2 linked regions of the Macaca fascicularis genome follow. The protein of the gene in region 1 binds, or shares a complex with, the protein of each later gene. Links are inferred from orthologs where the notes say so. Each region holds a gene or a part of one and is shown in the gene's direction. Other genes may lie near its edges. The genes, in order: NFS1 and ISCU.

The links.
Region 2: the proteins of NFS1 (region 1) and ISCU are in contact, whole or in part, in a crystal structure (PDB 6W1D), measured with the Homo sapiens proteins. The link is inferred for Macaca fascicularis from reciprocal best matches to the Homo sapiens genes NFS1 and ISCU. Residues at the interface, in NP_066923.3 of Homo sapiens: Tyr360, Val361, Glu362, Glu364, Ser365, Leu367, Met368, Ala369, Lys371, Glu399, Asp400, His403, Ser404, His429, Arg432, Leu433, Glu435, Met436, Ser437, Pro438, Leu439, Glu441, Met442, Trp454, Thr455; in NP_998760.1 of Homo sapiens: Tyr35, Val40, His42, Tyr43, Glu44, Val49, Gly50, Ser51, Leu63, Val64, Gly65, Ala66, Pro67, Ala68, Cys69, Gly70, Val72, Lys74, Phe90, Lys91, Thr92, Phe93, Gly94, Cys95, Gly96, Ile99, Lys135.

What each region holds. Positions count from the first base shown.
Region 1 is NC_088384.1:91,745,149-91,753,087, reverse strand, and holds part of NFS1 (cysteine desulfurase), read left to right. Parts: intron 1-1,247; coding exon 1,248-1,400; intron 1,401-2,716; coding exon 2,717-2,810; intron 2,811-3,825; coding exon 3,826-3,960; intron 3,961-6,165; exon of another isoform or gene 6,166-6,289; intron 6,290-7,939.
Region 2 is NC_088385.1:115,393,216-115,401,254, forward strand, and holds the start of ISCU (iron-sulfur cluster assembly enzyme ISCU), read left to right. Parts: upstream 1-3,430; 5' UTR 3,431-3,457; coding exon 3,458-3,571; intron 3,572-4,462; exon of another isoform or gene 4,463-5,093; coding exon 5,094-5,207; intron 5,208-6,100; coding exon 6,101-6,211; intron 6,212-8,011; coding exon 8,012-8,039. Other genes in the region: SART3 (squamous cell carcinoma antigen recognized by T-cells 3), read right to left, coding at 1,714-2,025.

The sequences.
Region 1 (7,939 bases):
TGAGCCACTGCACCTGGCATCCTATTTTTTTTTTTCTTTTTGAGACGGAGTCTCACTCCGTTGCCCAGGCTGGAGTGCAATAGCACTCTTCACTCACTGCAACCTCCGCCTCCTGGTTTCAAGTGATTCCCCTCCCTCAGCCTCCTGAGGAGTTGGGATTATAGGTGCGTGCCACTGGGCCTGGCTTATTTTTTTATTTTTAGTAGAGATGGGGTTTCTACATGTTGGCCAGGCTGGTCTCAAACTGGTGATCTCCTGACCTTAGGTGATCCGCCCGTCTCGGCCTCCCAAAGTGCTGGGATTACAGGCATGAGGCACTGCACCTGGGTTTAAGCATTTCTCCTGCCTCAGGCTCCACTGTTTTTTTTTTCTTAAATGAGATAAATGGTTTTTTTAATTTCTTGTAATAGTTGAAATTCCAGAAATTTTTTAATGTACCTTTATTGTTTCTTCTGATATTAACAGTAATAACTACTCATGACTTTGTTTACTGTTATATCACTGGCACCTAGAAAATTACTTGGGATACTGGAGGTGCTAAATATTGGTTGAATGAATGAATCATAAATTCCAATAATATAGAGAACTCTAAACACATTTTCACTGCTAATTTGCTGTATATTTCTCCAGATTTTTAAATACCTACATTAATCTGTATACTATTATCATTTTAATAGATTTTATTTTTTATAGCAGTTTTAGGTTCACAGCAAAATTGAAAGGAAGGTACAGAAATTTCCTATATATGCCCACCCCCAGGTATGCACAGCCTTCTGCCATTATTAGCATCTTCCATCAAGTGGTACATTTGTTCCAATTGACGACCTGGTATGGATACATCATTATCACCCAAAGTCCATAGCTTATATTAGGAATCACTGGTGTTGTACATTCTGTGGGTTTGGACAAATGTGATTTATTCTAGTGAATTACTGAACTTGAGCGGGCTTCGGGAAGCCCTGAATTTGTATTTGACTGGGCAGAAGTATGGGTAGCTTGAGACCCCTGGGACTTATGTCTGGTATCTGAACTAGGGGCAGTCTTATGTGATTGAGCCCTTAATCCATGGGGTTTTCACTAAGTCTGCAGAGTTAGCCTCAGAATTGAATTATAGGATACTCAGTTGGTATGAAAGAACTGGTGTTGGAGCATACTGTTCTTGCCCATTTTTCCTTTACAAATGATGTTGAAGTCATTGCTGTCTCTCTCAGTATGTTCTCCTTCCATCTATCACCACCAATTTCTAGGGGGTGGCCCGATTCTACAGGTCACGGAAAAAGCACTTGATCACCACCCAGACAGAACACAAATGTGTCTTGGACTCCTGCCGTTCACTGGAAGCTGAGGGCTTTCAGGTCACCTACCTCCCAGTGCAGAAGAGTGGGATCATTGACCTAAAGGTAGGAGTGGCTATTGGCAGGAGGAGCAAAAATGGAGGAACTTGGCTTCAGCTTGTAAATTTCTCTTTTGGGCCCTAGCTGGAGCTTGAAGGAATAGATCTAACAGGATGAAGTTTAGAGAAATGGGCCTGGCAGAGAATGAGATCATGTTCCCCTTGAGTGTGTACTGTCCTCCTTTTCTCTGGAGGACTTGTTTCTTTTTCTTTTTTTTTTTTTTTTTTTGAGATGGAGTCTCGCTCTTTTGCCCAGGCTAGAGTGCAGCTCACTACAAGCTCCACCTCCTGGGTTCACACCATTCTTCTGCCTCAGCCTCTCAAGTAGCTGGGATTGCAGGCGCCCACCACCATGCCCAGCTAATTTTTTGTATTTTTAGTAGAGATGGGGTTTCACCGTGGTAACCAGGATGGTCTCGATCTCCTGACCTCGTGATCTGCCCGCCTCAACCTCCCAAAGTGCTGGGATTACAGGCATGAGCCACAGTGCCCAGCCTTCCTTTTTTTTTTTTTTTTTGAGGCAAAGTCTCGCTCTGTCATCCAGGCTGGATTGCAGTGGTACAATCTCGGCTTACTGTAACTTCCACCTCCTGGGTTTAAGCATTTCTCCTGCCTCAGGCTCCGAAGTAGCTGGGACTACAGGTGTGCACCACCAGGCCCAACTAATTTTTGTATTTTTAGTAGAGATGGAGTTTCTCCATGTTAACTAGGCTGGTCTTGAACTTCTGACCTCAGGTGATCCACCCGCCTCAGCCTCCCAAAGTGCTGGGATTACAGGCGTGAGCCATTGCCCAGCCTTGATTAGCTTTTTTCACTAATCATAAGTCTTTGGGAATTCATTCCTTGCTGCATGTGCCAGTAGTTTGTTCCTTTTGATTGATAAGTAGTAGTCCATGTTATGGATGTACCAAAATCATCTGTTGAAGGACATCTGGGTAGTTTCTAGGTTTTTGCTATTATGAATAAAGTTACTGTGAACATTTGTGTAAGATGTTTTGTGAATTTAATTTTCATTTCTCTGGGATAAATGCCCATGCGTACAGTTACTGGGTTGTATGGTAATTTCATGTTTAGTGTGATGAGCAACAGAAACTGTCAAATTCTTTTCCAAAGTGGTTGTGACATTTACATTCCCACTAACAATGTATGAACCATTCAGAGTCTGTGCATCCTCACCAACATTTTGTGTTGTCACTGTTTTTAGTTAACTATTCAGATAGGTATGTAGTGTAAGACTCCTTTTCATGACTAAGCTTGCCTATATTCTGATTTAGGAGGACTTTGTTTGCACTATCTAGTCACCTTACTCCTGCATATCCCTAGGAACTAGAGGCTGCTATCCAGCCAGATACTAGCCTGGTCTCAGTCATGACTGTGAACAATGAGATTGGAGTGAAGCAGCCCATTGCAGAAATAGGTGAGTATCATGGCTTATCCCTGATCCCTGCCCACTATGGCGGTCTGTATGATGTAGTAGACTGAGAGCTGTAATACTCTGTGGAGTGTAGTTAGGAAATCAAGTGAAAGAGAGCCTAAGTGCTTTGTTCAAGGACATTGTAAGTATCACAGGCAGTATTTGAATCTAGGTCTATTACCATTTTTTTTTTTTTTCATTGAGACAGAGTGTCACTCTGTTGCCTAGGCTGGAGTGCAGTGGTGTGATCTCAGCTCCCTGCAACCTCCACCCCCTGGGTTCAAATGATCCTCCCGCCTCAGCCTCTCAAGTAGTGGGACTACAGGTGTGCACCACTATGCCTGGCTAATTTTTGTATTTTTAGTAGAGATGGGGTTTTGCCATGTTGGCCAGACTGGTCTTGAACTCCTAACCTCAGGTGATCTGCCCTCCTTGGTGTCCCAAAGTGCTGGGATTACAGGCATGAGCCACTGCGCCCCGCCAGGTCTAGTACCTTTTATGGTTTTTAATTTTATTGCAGTTGCTGCCAAAACCAACCACAAAACAAAAAAGCCTTCTACCCTTTTTCATTTTAGAACATCTTTTTATTATCCCCACGTAGAGCTCACCCTGTAATTTCTTTAGGCACGTTAGCACAAAGATCTCTTAATTTTTTTTTTTTTTTTTTTTTTTTTTAATCAAAAGGGATCTAGAAACTAATCTGACATTTTGAAAGACTGGTGTTAATGAGGTGGTAAGAATCGTATGCATGAGAGTATCAGGAGTGTTTTGATCTGGTGTTTTGCCCTTCATCTTTTTTATTCTAAAGAAGGGAAGCTACTGAGAGACAGAGGGAGGAAGGAAGAAGGGGGAGGAGAGAAGGAAAAGAAGAGGGAGAAGGGGTGGAAGGACGGAGGGGAGGAGTTTAATATTGATAGAGGTCATTTACTGTTGTTGGAGATAATTCACAGTGCACTGTGGGACAGTGACAGATGACTTTCCAACATTGTGCTGTGGGTCTTCCCCTCTGTTTCCTCAGGGCAGATTTGCAGTTCCAGAAAGGTGTATTTCCATACTGATGCAGCCCAGGCTGTTGGAAAAATCCCACTTGATGTCAATGACATGAAAATTGATCTCATGAGCATCAGTGGTCACAAAATCTACGGTCCCAAAGGTACCAGCCCCTCTAGAGTTCTTTCTGTACCTTCCAGCAAGACCTTTGATAGGTGTTTGTCAGAGTCATTTGGGACTACTATTGCTCTCAGAGGAAGTTGTACATTCAGAGTCCCTTGTAGAATGCAAATGTCATTTAGCAATAGGCAGAAACACTTGCCTGTTTGTAGACCTTAGCAGTTACTATACATCAGGCCATTCTTTCTTGCTGACTTTAACAAATCCTTAGCAAGCGTGTAGATCTTAATTTGGTTGAGGAGAAAGGGGTTTTGTCAAATCAAATTTATCTAGATAAGCCCAGCTATCTTGTTTTCCCCACTATGATGTGCAGAGCAGCTATTTGAGTCCTTCATTCCCAGTGTCTTGCTATAGCTCAGGGGAAGATTGCATGGGATTTGACATCTCTTTGTGTTTATTATGATTATGATTTTTTTTTTTTTTTGAGACGGAGTCTTGTTCAGTCGACCAGGCTGGAGTGCAGTGGTATGATCTGGGCTCACTGCAAGCTCCCTCCTGGGTTCACGCCATTCTCCTGCCTCAGCCTCCCGAGTAGCTGGGACTACAGGCGCCCACCACTACGCCTAGCTACTGTTTTTTTTTTTTTTTTTTTTTTTTGAGACGGAGTCTTGCTCTGTCGCCCAGGCTGGAGTGCAGTGGCCGGATCTCAGCTAACTGCAAGCTCCGCCTCCCAGGTTCACGCCATTCTCCTGCCTCAGCCTCCCGAGCAGCTGGGACTACAGGCGCCCACCACCTCGCCCAGCTAGTTTTTTTGTATTTTTTAGTAGAGACGGGGTTTCACCGGGTTAGCCAGGATGGTCTCGATCTCCTGACGTCGTGATCCGCCCACCTCGGCCTCCCAAAGTGCTGGGATTACAGGCTTGAGCCACCGCGCCCGGCCGCCTAGCTACTGTTTTTGTATTTTTAGTAGAGACGGGGTTTCACCGCATTAGCCAGGATGGTCTCGATCTCCTGACCTCGTGATCTGCCCGTCTCAGCCTCCCAAAGTGCTGGGATTATAGGCATGAGCCACCACACCCAGCTATCTTTGCGTTTATTCTTAGAATACTTCATAGTCTGTTACCCTGTTAAGTCTCTCATGGATACTTATTTGTTCCCTATGGTCCTGTTGGAATGTGTTCAAGCTTGAGTTATGCCTCTTTCCCTTAACCCTCGGGAATAGACTGTTGTCCTCTGTTTTGTGAAGGTAACCATAAAATATCAATATAAAATATAACTCCTCTTTCTCAAGTGAGGGCCTTTTTTGGGTTGATGTCTTTGCTGGTATCCTTTTTGTACCTGCAGGGTGTGTTATCTGGGTGTATACTTTGTGGAAGTAGGTATAATAGCTTCTGGAAGTATGGAAGATGGCTTCTGAGGGTTCCCAGAGGTTGTAAAGAGTGTTTTTTGTGAGCTATTATTTCAAAAAGCTCAATAAGAATCCTATCTTTTAATAAAATGTTGCTTTTATTGGCTTTTATTGTAGATAAGTCTTTTTGATAAAAACCAATGAACTCAGGCTGGATACCCTATTCTTCATCATGTCCTATTTCACATTATATGCCTGTGTTAAAACATCTCGTGGGCTGGGCACGGTGGCTCACGCCTGTAATCCCAGCACTTTGGGAAGCCAAGGCAGGTGGATCACGAGGTCAGGAGTTCAAGACCAGCCTGATCAACATGGTGAAATCTCATCTCTACTAAAAATACAAAAATTAGCCGGGTGTGGTGGCGTGTGCCTTTAATCCCAGCTACTCAGGAGACTGAGGCAGGAGAATCGCTTGAACCCAGGAGCCGGAGGTTGCAGTGAGCCGAGATCGCGCCACTGCCTGGGTGACAGGCAAGACTCCCTCTCAAAAACAAAAAAAAATCTCATGTACTCCATAATATATATATCTCCTATGTACTCACAAAAATTAAAAAAAAAAAACACCAATGAACTCATTGATCAGAAGCTCTGATCAACACTTACATGTGTACAGGTATCCCTCATTATCTGACCTCCTGCTTTCCAAGCCCAGAATCTAAATAGATTTAGATAATGTGGTATTCTTCACTGTCCAGACATGGTATTTGAGCACTTGCTGTTTGAATTCGGGAACTGTATAGACTCAGATAGTATAAGATTCTTGAATTTTTTAAAATGGAGAAATGAAATAATTCTTAATAAATACAGTTTAGTACATTATTTTATTCATTTGTTTTATAGGGACAAGGTCTCACTCTGTCGCTCAGGCTGGAGTGCAGTGGTGCTATCCTACCTTGCCGCAGCTTCAATCTCCTGGGCTCAAGCAACCCTCCTACCCCAGCCTCACCAGTAACTAGCACTACAGGTGTGCACCAACACCCTAGCTAATTTTTTTTTCTTTTTCTTTTTTTTTTTTTTGAGACAAAGTCTTACTCTGACGCCCAGGCTGAAGTGCAGTGGTGTGGTCTTGGCTCACTGCAACCTCTGCCTCCCGGGTTGAAGGGATTCTTCTCCCTCAGCTTCCTGAGTAGCTGGGATTACAGGCCCACCGTGCCCAGCCACACCTGGCTAATTTTTTTTTTTTTTTTTTGAGACGAAGTCTTGCTCTTGTCCCCCAGGTGGAGTGCTATGGCGAGATCTCAGCTCACTGCAACCTCTGCCTCCCGGGTTCAAGCGATTCTCCTGCCTCAGCCTCCTGAGTAGCTGGGATTACAGGTGCCTGCCACCACACCTGGCTAATTTTTGTATTTTATTTTATTTTATTTATTTTATTTTATTTTATTATTTTATTTTTGAGATGGAGTCTCGCTCTGTCACCCAGGCTGGAGTACAGTCGCGCCATCTTGGCTCACTGCAAGCTCTGCCTCCAGGGTTCTTGCCATTCTCTTGTCTCAGCGTCCCAAGTGGCTGGGACTACAGGTGCCTGCCACCACGCCCGGCTAATTTTTTTGTGTGTGTGTATGTGTTTTTAGTAGAGATAGGGTTTTACTGTGTTAGCCAGGATGGTTTCGATCTCCTGACCTCGTGATCCACCCGCCTCGGCCTCCCAAAGTACTGAGATTACAGGCGTGAGCCACCGTGCCCGGCCTAAGTTTTGTATTTTTAGTAGACATGGGGTTTCACTATGTTGGCTAGGCTGGTCTTGAACTCCTGACCTCAGGTGATCTGCCCCCTTCGGCCTCCCAAAGTGCTAGGATTACAGGTGTAATCCCGCTCACGGCCTAATGCGTGGCTAATTTTTAAAACAGTTTTTGTAGAGATAGAGGTTTCACTATGTTACTCAGGCTTGAATTCCTGACCTCAAGCAACTCTCCTGCCTCAGTCTCCCAAAGTGCTGGGATTACAGGCATGACCCACTGCACCCAGTTTATTTAAAATCTGGTGTCCTTCATAATAAATTTGGAAACCACTGCCTTAATTTTTATAGTACCTCCATTCTCAGCATAAACAGTTTTTCTGTGTGGGAGAAGAACTGTCAAGTGCCAATTCTATTCAGAAGCCCTGATTACTTGGTGAATAACTTCGCATGCTCATGCTCATATTTTGGCACAAAATTTCTGTAATTAGGCTTGTTTAGTCACAGGTTATACACATTTTTAAGTTTTTTGTTTTTTGAGTCAAGGTCACTCTGTTGCCCAACCTGGAGTGCAGTGAATGTCACAATCATAGCTCACAGCAGCTTTGACCTCCTAGGCTCACGTGATCCTCCTGCCTTAGCCTCCAGGGTAGCTGGGACTATAAGTGCATGCCACCATGCCCAGCTAAATTTTAATTTTTTTTTTTTTGTAGACACGGTGTCTCACTATGTTTCTCAGGCTTGTCCCAAACTTCTGGTCTCAAGTGATTGTCCTTCCTTGGCCTCCCAGAGTGCTGGGATTATAGTCATGAGCCACCATGCCTCACCAATTTTTTTTAAATTTTGATTTTATTTTGAAAAAGTAATATTCATGTGGTTCAAAATTCAAAAACTATAAAAAGTGCACAGACAGCTGGGCGCAGTGGCTCATGCCTGTAA
Region 2 (8,039 bases), on another chromosome or scaffold:
GGGGCAAGCTATACCAATGGATGACATCACTATCTCATAATGTAACAAAAATATCAGTGCCAGAGGGAGTATTATAAGGAAACTGACACTCAGCAACGTTTAATGAGTAACCTAGATTAGCAACTTCACATTCACTGAGTGATTTCACATCCAGTGTGGCATCTAGTCCACATTTTCGGTGTAAATCCCACTATGAACGACTTAAAGCAAATCATTTCATCATTTGTTCTGAACCTCTGTTTCTTCATCTGTAAAAAGAGAATGTGGGCCGGGCGTAGTGGCTCAGGCCTGTAACCCCAGCACTATGGGAGGCCAAGGTGCGTGGATCCCCTGAGGTCAGGAATTCAAGAGAAGCCCGGCCAACATGGTGAAACCCCATCTCTACTAAAAATACAGAAATTAGCCGGGCGCAATGGGGCATGCCTGGATCCCAGCTACTGGGAAGGCTGAGGCAGAAGAATCGCTTCAACCAGGGAGGCAGAGTTTGCAGTGAGACGAGATGGTGCCACTGCACTCCAGCCTGGGTGACGGGGCGAGACTCTTGTCTCAAAAAAAAAAAAAGAGAGAGAATGTGCTCCATCTCTTCTGTTTGCCCCCTCCAAACACACCCTACCCTCTCCTCCCTGCCCTGTGTCCCCGAGTATAGACCCCATATACAGGTTTTCTGGCTCTTCAGCTTCCAGATGGGTCTGCCCAGCAGAAGGCACCAGCAGGAGAAGTTTGGTGGAAGGAAGAAAGGGAGGTCAAGGTATTTCTTCCCCCACCCCAATCCTTGACAGGAAACTGGAGCTGCATCCCTTGAACAAAGTTATCAGCAGGTCTCAGGTGCCCTCTCCACACAACTCAGATCATTCCCTTCACCCCTTCAGGCCCAAAGATGGACACCAGGTTCAGGAGTTACTAGCCATGGGATACTAAACCTTCACTCCTGATTTCCCATACCCACACCCTTACTTTCTCTCAGATCATCCTAATCTAAATGTGCCACCTATTTCCTGCTGAGATCCTGGATTATACAGTAGATATCACCACCTCGTAAGGTTACAAACGAGAGACCATGTTATGACTAGATGCTAGGCACTGGGCTATAGATACTGTTACAACAATTATATTATGCAGACATTGTTGCTCCCAATCTGCAGATGAGGAAGCCGAGAGGATCAGAGAAATTAAGAAATTCTCACAAGGACATACAAGGGTGGAACAGCTAGAACTGAGGCCTTAACCTCCAGAACCAGCAAACCTTTCCATTTCTATTATCACCATCGCGGTCAATATTTTTCCTACCACAAGTTTCATCACCGCCGTCATTCCTACACAACAAAGTAACAGTCTCTTATGAATGAGTGTATTTCTACTGTTGGACGTGTGGCTACGAGGGGGAGTTCTGGAATGGGATCAAAGTACGAGGCCTGACTTGCAGGAAGTATTATCTTGAGCAAGAGACTTTCCTCCACGAACCTCAGTTTCCTCCAGTAAAATGGGGATAGATAACAGGGCTTCCTTCACAGGGTGGTGAGGATTCAATGGGATAACATTTGCAAAGCACCGGGCACGCAGTAAGCACTCAAATGACAGGAGCTACGGTCATGAAAAAGGGGTTTGCAGCCTTGGCGGCTTTATGGCCGCCGAGGACTAGGGAGGCGGGCCAGGACACGGGGACCTGAGGACCTGAAAGACTGGAAGGTGCCCGCTGCCCACCCCCGGGCCCACCTGCTCCTCCAGTCTCTCAATCTCCAGCTGGTTCTTCTCCTCCTCTTCGTCATATTCCCACTCGTACTCCCCGGGGGAGCTCTCCGCGGAGGAAGCCATGGCGTACTCATCCCCATCGCTCTCGCTCACGCCTTCCTCCTGCTGATCCCACCCTGGCCCCACGGTCTTGTATGTCGCAGCGGCCACAGCCCGCGATAACACCTTCCTTCTTGTCCTCGCCGCCTTAACCTCATCCTCCTCTCCGTCAGCCTTGGGCCCAGCCTTGGACTCAGCCTCGGGTTCTGAAGCCGAGGTTGCGGCCGCAGTCGCCATCTTGCGCTTCTAATGACTCTCGGGTCTTCCCGCGGCCGCCGAAGACCCGCTGAGGCAGAAGCTGCCCGCGGCGCGCGCCTTATCAAAAGCCCGTTTTCTTGACACTGAAAGGGAAACTGGGAACCTTAGATAACGAGAAAATCTCCAAATACACTAAATTCATTTTATTTTATACCCCTGTAAAAACTCCCACCAGAGAAAAAACTCATTATCATGGCATACGTTCCGTCACAACTTCGGACAGAAGTTGGGTCTTTGGGCAGGAAGTGGAGGCCATAGAGGAAGTCATGAAGCGAGCGTGGTGTCTGTAGTAAAGAATTTGGCGCCATCTTGAGAAGGTCAAAGTGATTCTTAGAAAAAATACCTTACTTATCGCCTAGTGTGACCTGGCGCTTGGGTTTAGTCTCCCCAGCAACTGCACCTCAAACGCAAAGAAAACTGCAGGTCCTCGGGGAAGGATCGATTTCACCATTCAAGAGAAAAATCCATTTCCCAAAGAAATTCTTCCCCTTTATGTAAACATCTGGTACCTAGGAGGCGTTAAATACACTTGAGTTTTCCGGTTTTATAAGCTCACATACTGCAAACCAACAGTAAATACGCATTTCTTTAGAAATTCTTAATTGCTAGGCACCGACATATAAATTGAATTTGCTGTTGTTTCAGAGAGAAAAATAGACATATACTCATTTTTTTTCAATCAGGACATGGTGTTCGTTTCCTTCTTAAGCTTCCCATTGTTGAGGTAGGCAAGTACTGGAGTGTGTCTCTATCTCTACCTTGCTCCCTCATTAGCAAGCTTAATGGGCAGGAATTACGTCTGTTTTGCTTTCTGTTGGATCCCCGGGTCTAGTAGAGTGCCTTGACACATAGTAGGTACTCAACACAGATGCTGGCTTCATGATGAAGGAATTGTCCTCGAATTAATACAAAAAGGAAGATTCAGACTTAGCAAGCCGGTACCATTTGTCTAGGGACACACAGCCAGGAAGGAACCGAACCAGGATTCTAACCCAGGACTACCCAAGTTCGAATTCTAGTTGAACCTAAGCCCTAAGCGACCTTGGACGGAGTGACCAAACTGCCCTGAATCTCAGCTTCCTTAGCTGCAAAATAGGGTTAGGAAAAGTGGACTCAGTGGTCCTCTGCGCCGCATTCCCACACTGCAGAAGCCTGAGATCCTCTCTCAACCAGAATCCAGCACCCAGGACAAGCCCTCTAGCGACTTCAGACCTTCCCGCTCCCGACCCCGCCCGCCCCCGAGAGGCGTGGTCAAGGCGGGGCCACAGGGCGGAGGCTTGCACGGAACGGTAAGGCGCAGGCGCAAAGCCTCGGTGACGCCAGAGAGGCGCGCTCCCAGCTCGGCGCCGACTCGCAGACGCGCCCCGCCCCTCGGCATCGCTCTGGACTGGCGCAGGCGCAAGCCGGCAAGATGGCGGCAGCTGGAGCTGGCCGTCTGAGGCGGGCAGCGTCGGCTCTGCTGCTCCGGAGCCCCCGCCTGCCCGCCCGGGAGCTATCGGCCCCGGCCCGACTCTATCACAAGAAGGTAGGGACAAACGAGGGGACACGCGGAATGCCGACTCGGGGGAGGCCTGGGCTGGAGCGGCGGCCGCGGGGTTCTACGCAGCCAGGACTAGCTGTCGCCTCCCACGTCTTTGCCCTGACTCACTTTCCCTTGCTGCGCAGTGAGGCTCACTGCAACTGATAAACAACAGTTACCGCTCATCGGGCTGCGACTTCCAGGGGGCCCCGCCGCTGGCCGCGACTTCGTGCGTCCCAACTTTAAATTCGCCAACAGCCCAGGAGGCAGGGTCCTGTTGGGACTTGTCTTTTAGAGTCCAGGGACAGACACACCCCCGGAGCGGGCTCCGGCTTCAGCCACGCTGCTGCCCTGGCTAGATGACCTTGCGCTAGTCACTGCGCCTCTCTGAACTTGTTTCCCCAGGTGTAAATGAGGACTCTCAGCTGTCTCTTACAAAGGATACTGTGCATGGAGTCCTGTCATGGTTCCTGGCACATAGGCCCCAGCACGAGGAGACCGTTTCTGTTACTGCTTTAGGAGTGCATAGGGGAGTCAGGCTTGTAACCAACATGCGTAGTGTTTTTGTTTTGTTTTGGGGGTTTTTTTTTGGCGGGGAAGGAGGGATAGATGCATAGTTTGCAGCCCCTTGCTGTCTGGTGACGCAAAGTCCCCCAGACGTGAGACTCCCACTCTAGAAACAAAGAATGCCATAAATCAACGTGGCACAAAAAGTCCCTCCGTTAGATACTATCCTATAGGGGCCTTTACTTGGAGTCAAAATCCTTAGTCAGATGGGGAGGAAAAGGGGACTGGAAGATCGGGGTGCTTACTACTAACCAGTAACCACATTAAGGCCTTCTGTGTGCCAGTTCGAATGGATGTTGATTCTGATCTGGCCTCTGCCCTTTCTCCAAGGGCTTCTTCACTCCTCCCCCTCCCGGCGGTGTGTTTCGTTGAGGGTACACCCCGAGGAAACTTGGACTAGCAGCCTTTCAGCAGCCAGGGTGCGCTGCTGCACCAGGGTGATGACAGGCTCTGAAATACGGTAATGGCACTGTTTTTATTTTGAAAGACACATAAACGTACACATTCCATAGCATTGTTCTCTGTGTAACAGTCACCTTAAGGCTTCTAAAAGTTTTCCCTTCCTGGGCCATAGTTATTTTTAGAATTTTTAAATAGTAATCATCCTTTGAGGATAGTTTTTATTTGAAAATAACAAAACTGCTGTTTGAGCCCAAGTCTGGTGATGTAGGTGGGTAAAAGTCAAGTATTTTTGTAAAAACCCTATGGAATTAAGACATGATTTCACTGATATTTTTTTCTTCTAGGTGTCGCTAATCTGTGAAGTAGTTGTAGAGGAGACACAAAAGGAATTGGGGGTCACAAATGGTTCTCACTGACATGAGTGTAGACCTTTCTACTCAGGTGAAATTTGGTGATTGCCTGCCAGGTTCAAGATGCTGACTTCCAGGAGCTTGCCACCATACCAGAGACCAGCACCAATAGAGAGTGAACACGATTTATCTTAACCCTCTCATTTTAGGTTGTTGATCATTATGAAAATCCTAGAAACGTGGGGTCCCTTGACAAGACATCTAAAAATGTTGGAACTGGACTGGTGGGGGCTCCAGCATGTGGTGACGTAATGAAATTACAGGTATGGCTAGTCTTTAATAGTGATAACAATAATCCCTTTAAGTTTACAAAGCACTTGCACATACAGCATTTCACTCGGTCTCCATCTTTATTCCTGTGAGATGGGATGAGTCCATGTTAGACGTGATTGGAACAGGGCCTCAATCGTAGCTCTCCTGCCAGGCTAGTGTACTATGCCGACTTTTTCCGAAATAGAAAAGTAATCTCATTTTTGTACTCACTGTATAAGTTTAAATTCCAACTTCAGCCAACGAAAGAGTTTTGTGAATTTTACTGATCAAAGGAAAATCCCAGTGAGCTAGCAGTCCCCAATGAGATAAGAAACACAGTAAATTAAACCTGTCCCCAGATTGGGAGCAACATGAAGATAGTGTCTAGTGCTTTGGGTAAACTGTTGTTGTAGCGCCAATCTGCTGCTTCATGGTGAGTGGGCAGCTTGCCAGAGATCTTCATACCTATCTTGGAATACAGAAACAAAACAGGAGGAAACCACTAAGTATAATCTGCTGCCCAAGAAAAAAGTATTAACCAGAGACCTTTATTGTGTACTCTCTCAGTGTTTAAGAGGCAGATTGCCCCAGCAGCTGTGAGCAGACTGCCTCAAATAGAAGTTCATAGCCAAAATGCAAGCCAGAGTCGCAAAACAAAATAATATTGGGGTGGAGGAACATATTTTCCAGCTGATCTTTGTCAGTTGGGCCTGGATAATTGTCCCTGCATTTCACTTTTCATCACTGAGCTCTCTGAAACAAGGCAAAATCAGTAATTAATACCATCACTTAGTATGGAAAGCAAGCCCAAAGCCCTTGGGGAAGGCCCCAATGAACCTTCGTGAGTGCCAAGTTCCAGAGGGTGGTCCTAGGACTCACCACTTAACTCTTGTCTCTTTTCTAGATTCAAGTGGATGAAAAGGGGAAAATTGTGGATGCTAGGTTTAAAACATTTGGCTGTGGTTCTGCAATTGCCTCCAGCTCATTAGCCACTGAATGGGTGAAAGGAAAGACGGTAAGGTTGCTCACAAATCTGACAGAATGAAATTGCATTCACCCCAAGCCTGTCTCTTGACGGGTCTAATGGGTCAAAAACAACCATAACTTTTTTTTAATATTCTGAATTTTTAAAGTTTCTGCTATACAGATGTTGATTATATTAATTCTTCAAATTGGGAATTATAGATCATTCTAGATGATGTTTGGGTTTTTTTCTTGTTGATCATTTTGTTTGTTTGTTTGGGTGTTAATTACATACAAAAAAGATCATCACCTGTCCCTCTAACAAAATAGAATTTAGAAGAAATCTTTGGCTTTCTCTAAGGTTACCAATACTCTTATAATTTGTCAAGTCAGAGAGTTGTTATATGGTAGTTATTTTCTTGCTTATTTCCTCTCATGTTTCAGGAAGGGTTCTAGGTGGCTTACAAGGATTGGTGAAATAAACTAGCCTGTGTTAAAAGAGGGATTAAAGAATCAAAAACACAGCAAGGGTAGGGGCAAAGTGAACAACGAAATCAGAACAGTGATCCAGGTGGTTGATCGCAAGCCCTCTAAAGGCAGAGATAATAAAGAGCTAGAACTTCTCTTTCATCCCTTTCTCTCCGAAGTGTCTTTCCCTGGTAGCTGCAGAGGTCAAAGGTCCCAAAAGCAGTGAAGAGCTGGACTTTCTAAAATCCAGTTGCTGTCAGAACCTCTCAGAAAAGCCAACCATCATGGCACTCATCTTTGCTGCCCCAAGGGACCAGGTGCAGGGAGCTGAGTCATGGAGGAGCATGCTTGGGAGCTGGCCAGCTCCACGGCAGAGCGGTTTGCCAGGCCACGTGCCACCTGCTTCCTGTGGCTCACGGCCTTCTGGCTGGCAAGCTCCTGTGGGCCAGGAAGCTCAGACCTAACCTGCTCTGGCAGGAGGTAGCCCTGAAGTGATTTGTCAGGAACTGTCCTCAGGTGAAGGGAGAAATGAGACAAGGCACTTATGCTCCCAGAACCTGCCTCTTAGGGGACTGTGAATTGTGATCAGAAAATGGGAGAGAGAACATTTTCTTTAACCTTGAGATCGCCTATCTGAGTTTCAGGAGCAGAACCTGAATCAGCCAAGAAGGGTTAGCAGAATTGGGAAATTGAACGATAGTCAGACATAGCGAAGGAGCCCAGCTGTTGGGAAATCTGGTTTTCTGTAAGGCGGTGGGGCACTGTTCCACATGGGCGAGGATCTGTTTGCCTCACATTATCCCCCCCGGGCTGTCAACCAGACCCCAGGCGTCCTCCTCAGTTGATCTGGAAGAGCTGCTCCTATAGGCAAAGGGTGACACCAGAGAGAGCGTTCAGCCTGACCCGGCTGTGCGACTGCCACTGTGCCACTTACCTGACATCTTCCCAACCTCTCTGATGCCATGTGGCACTTCTAGTCAAAAGGATTTATTCTAACATTTCGTATGAGGACATCAGAGAAGCTGATATTCACAAAACCAGTATCGGAAATCACTACCTTTTAAGGAAAAGATTCCTGACACAGGCCACAAGCAGATCCCTAAGAGACTTCTCACCGGTTCCACTCCTGGCTTAGAGAAGTGTCTGGGCGGTCTTTGCTTACCCAAGCCAGGCAGTGCAGCTGTGTATACTTCATGCTTGAGAATCCCAGCTGCAGCTTTGATAGAGTGGGAGTCATCCTGAGAAGACCCTCAGCCCTTTGAGTTATTAAACAGAAATTATCCCCACCAACCCCGAGGGCCTTTTTGGCCTCCCTTTTTTATTGTCTGGCCCTCACAAGATAAAGCGTTGCTAAAACTGCCCGTCTTTCCATTATGCCTCTCAGGTGGAGGAAGCCTTGACTATCAAAAACA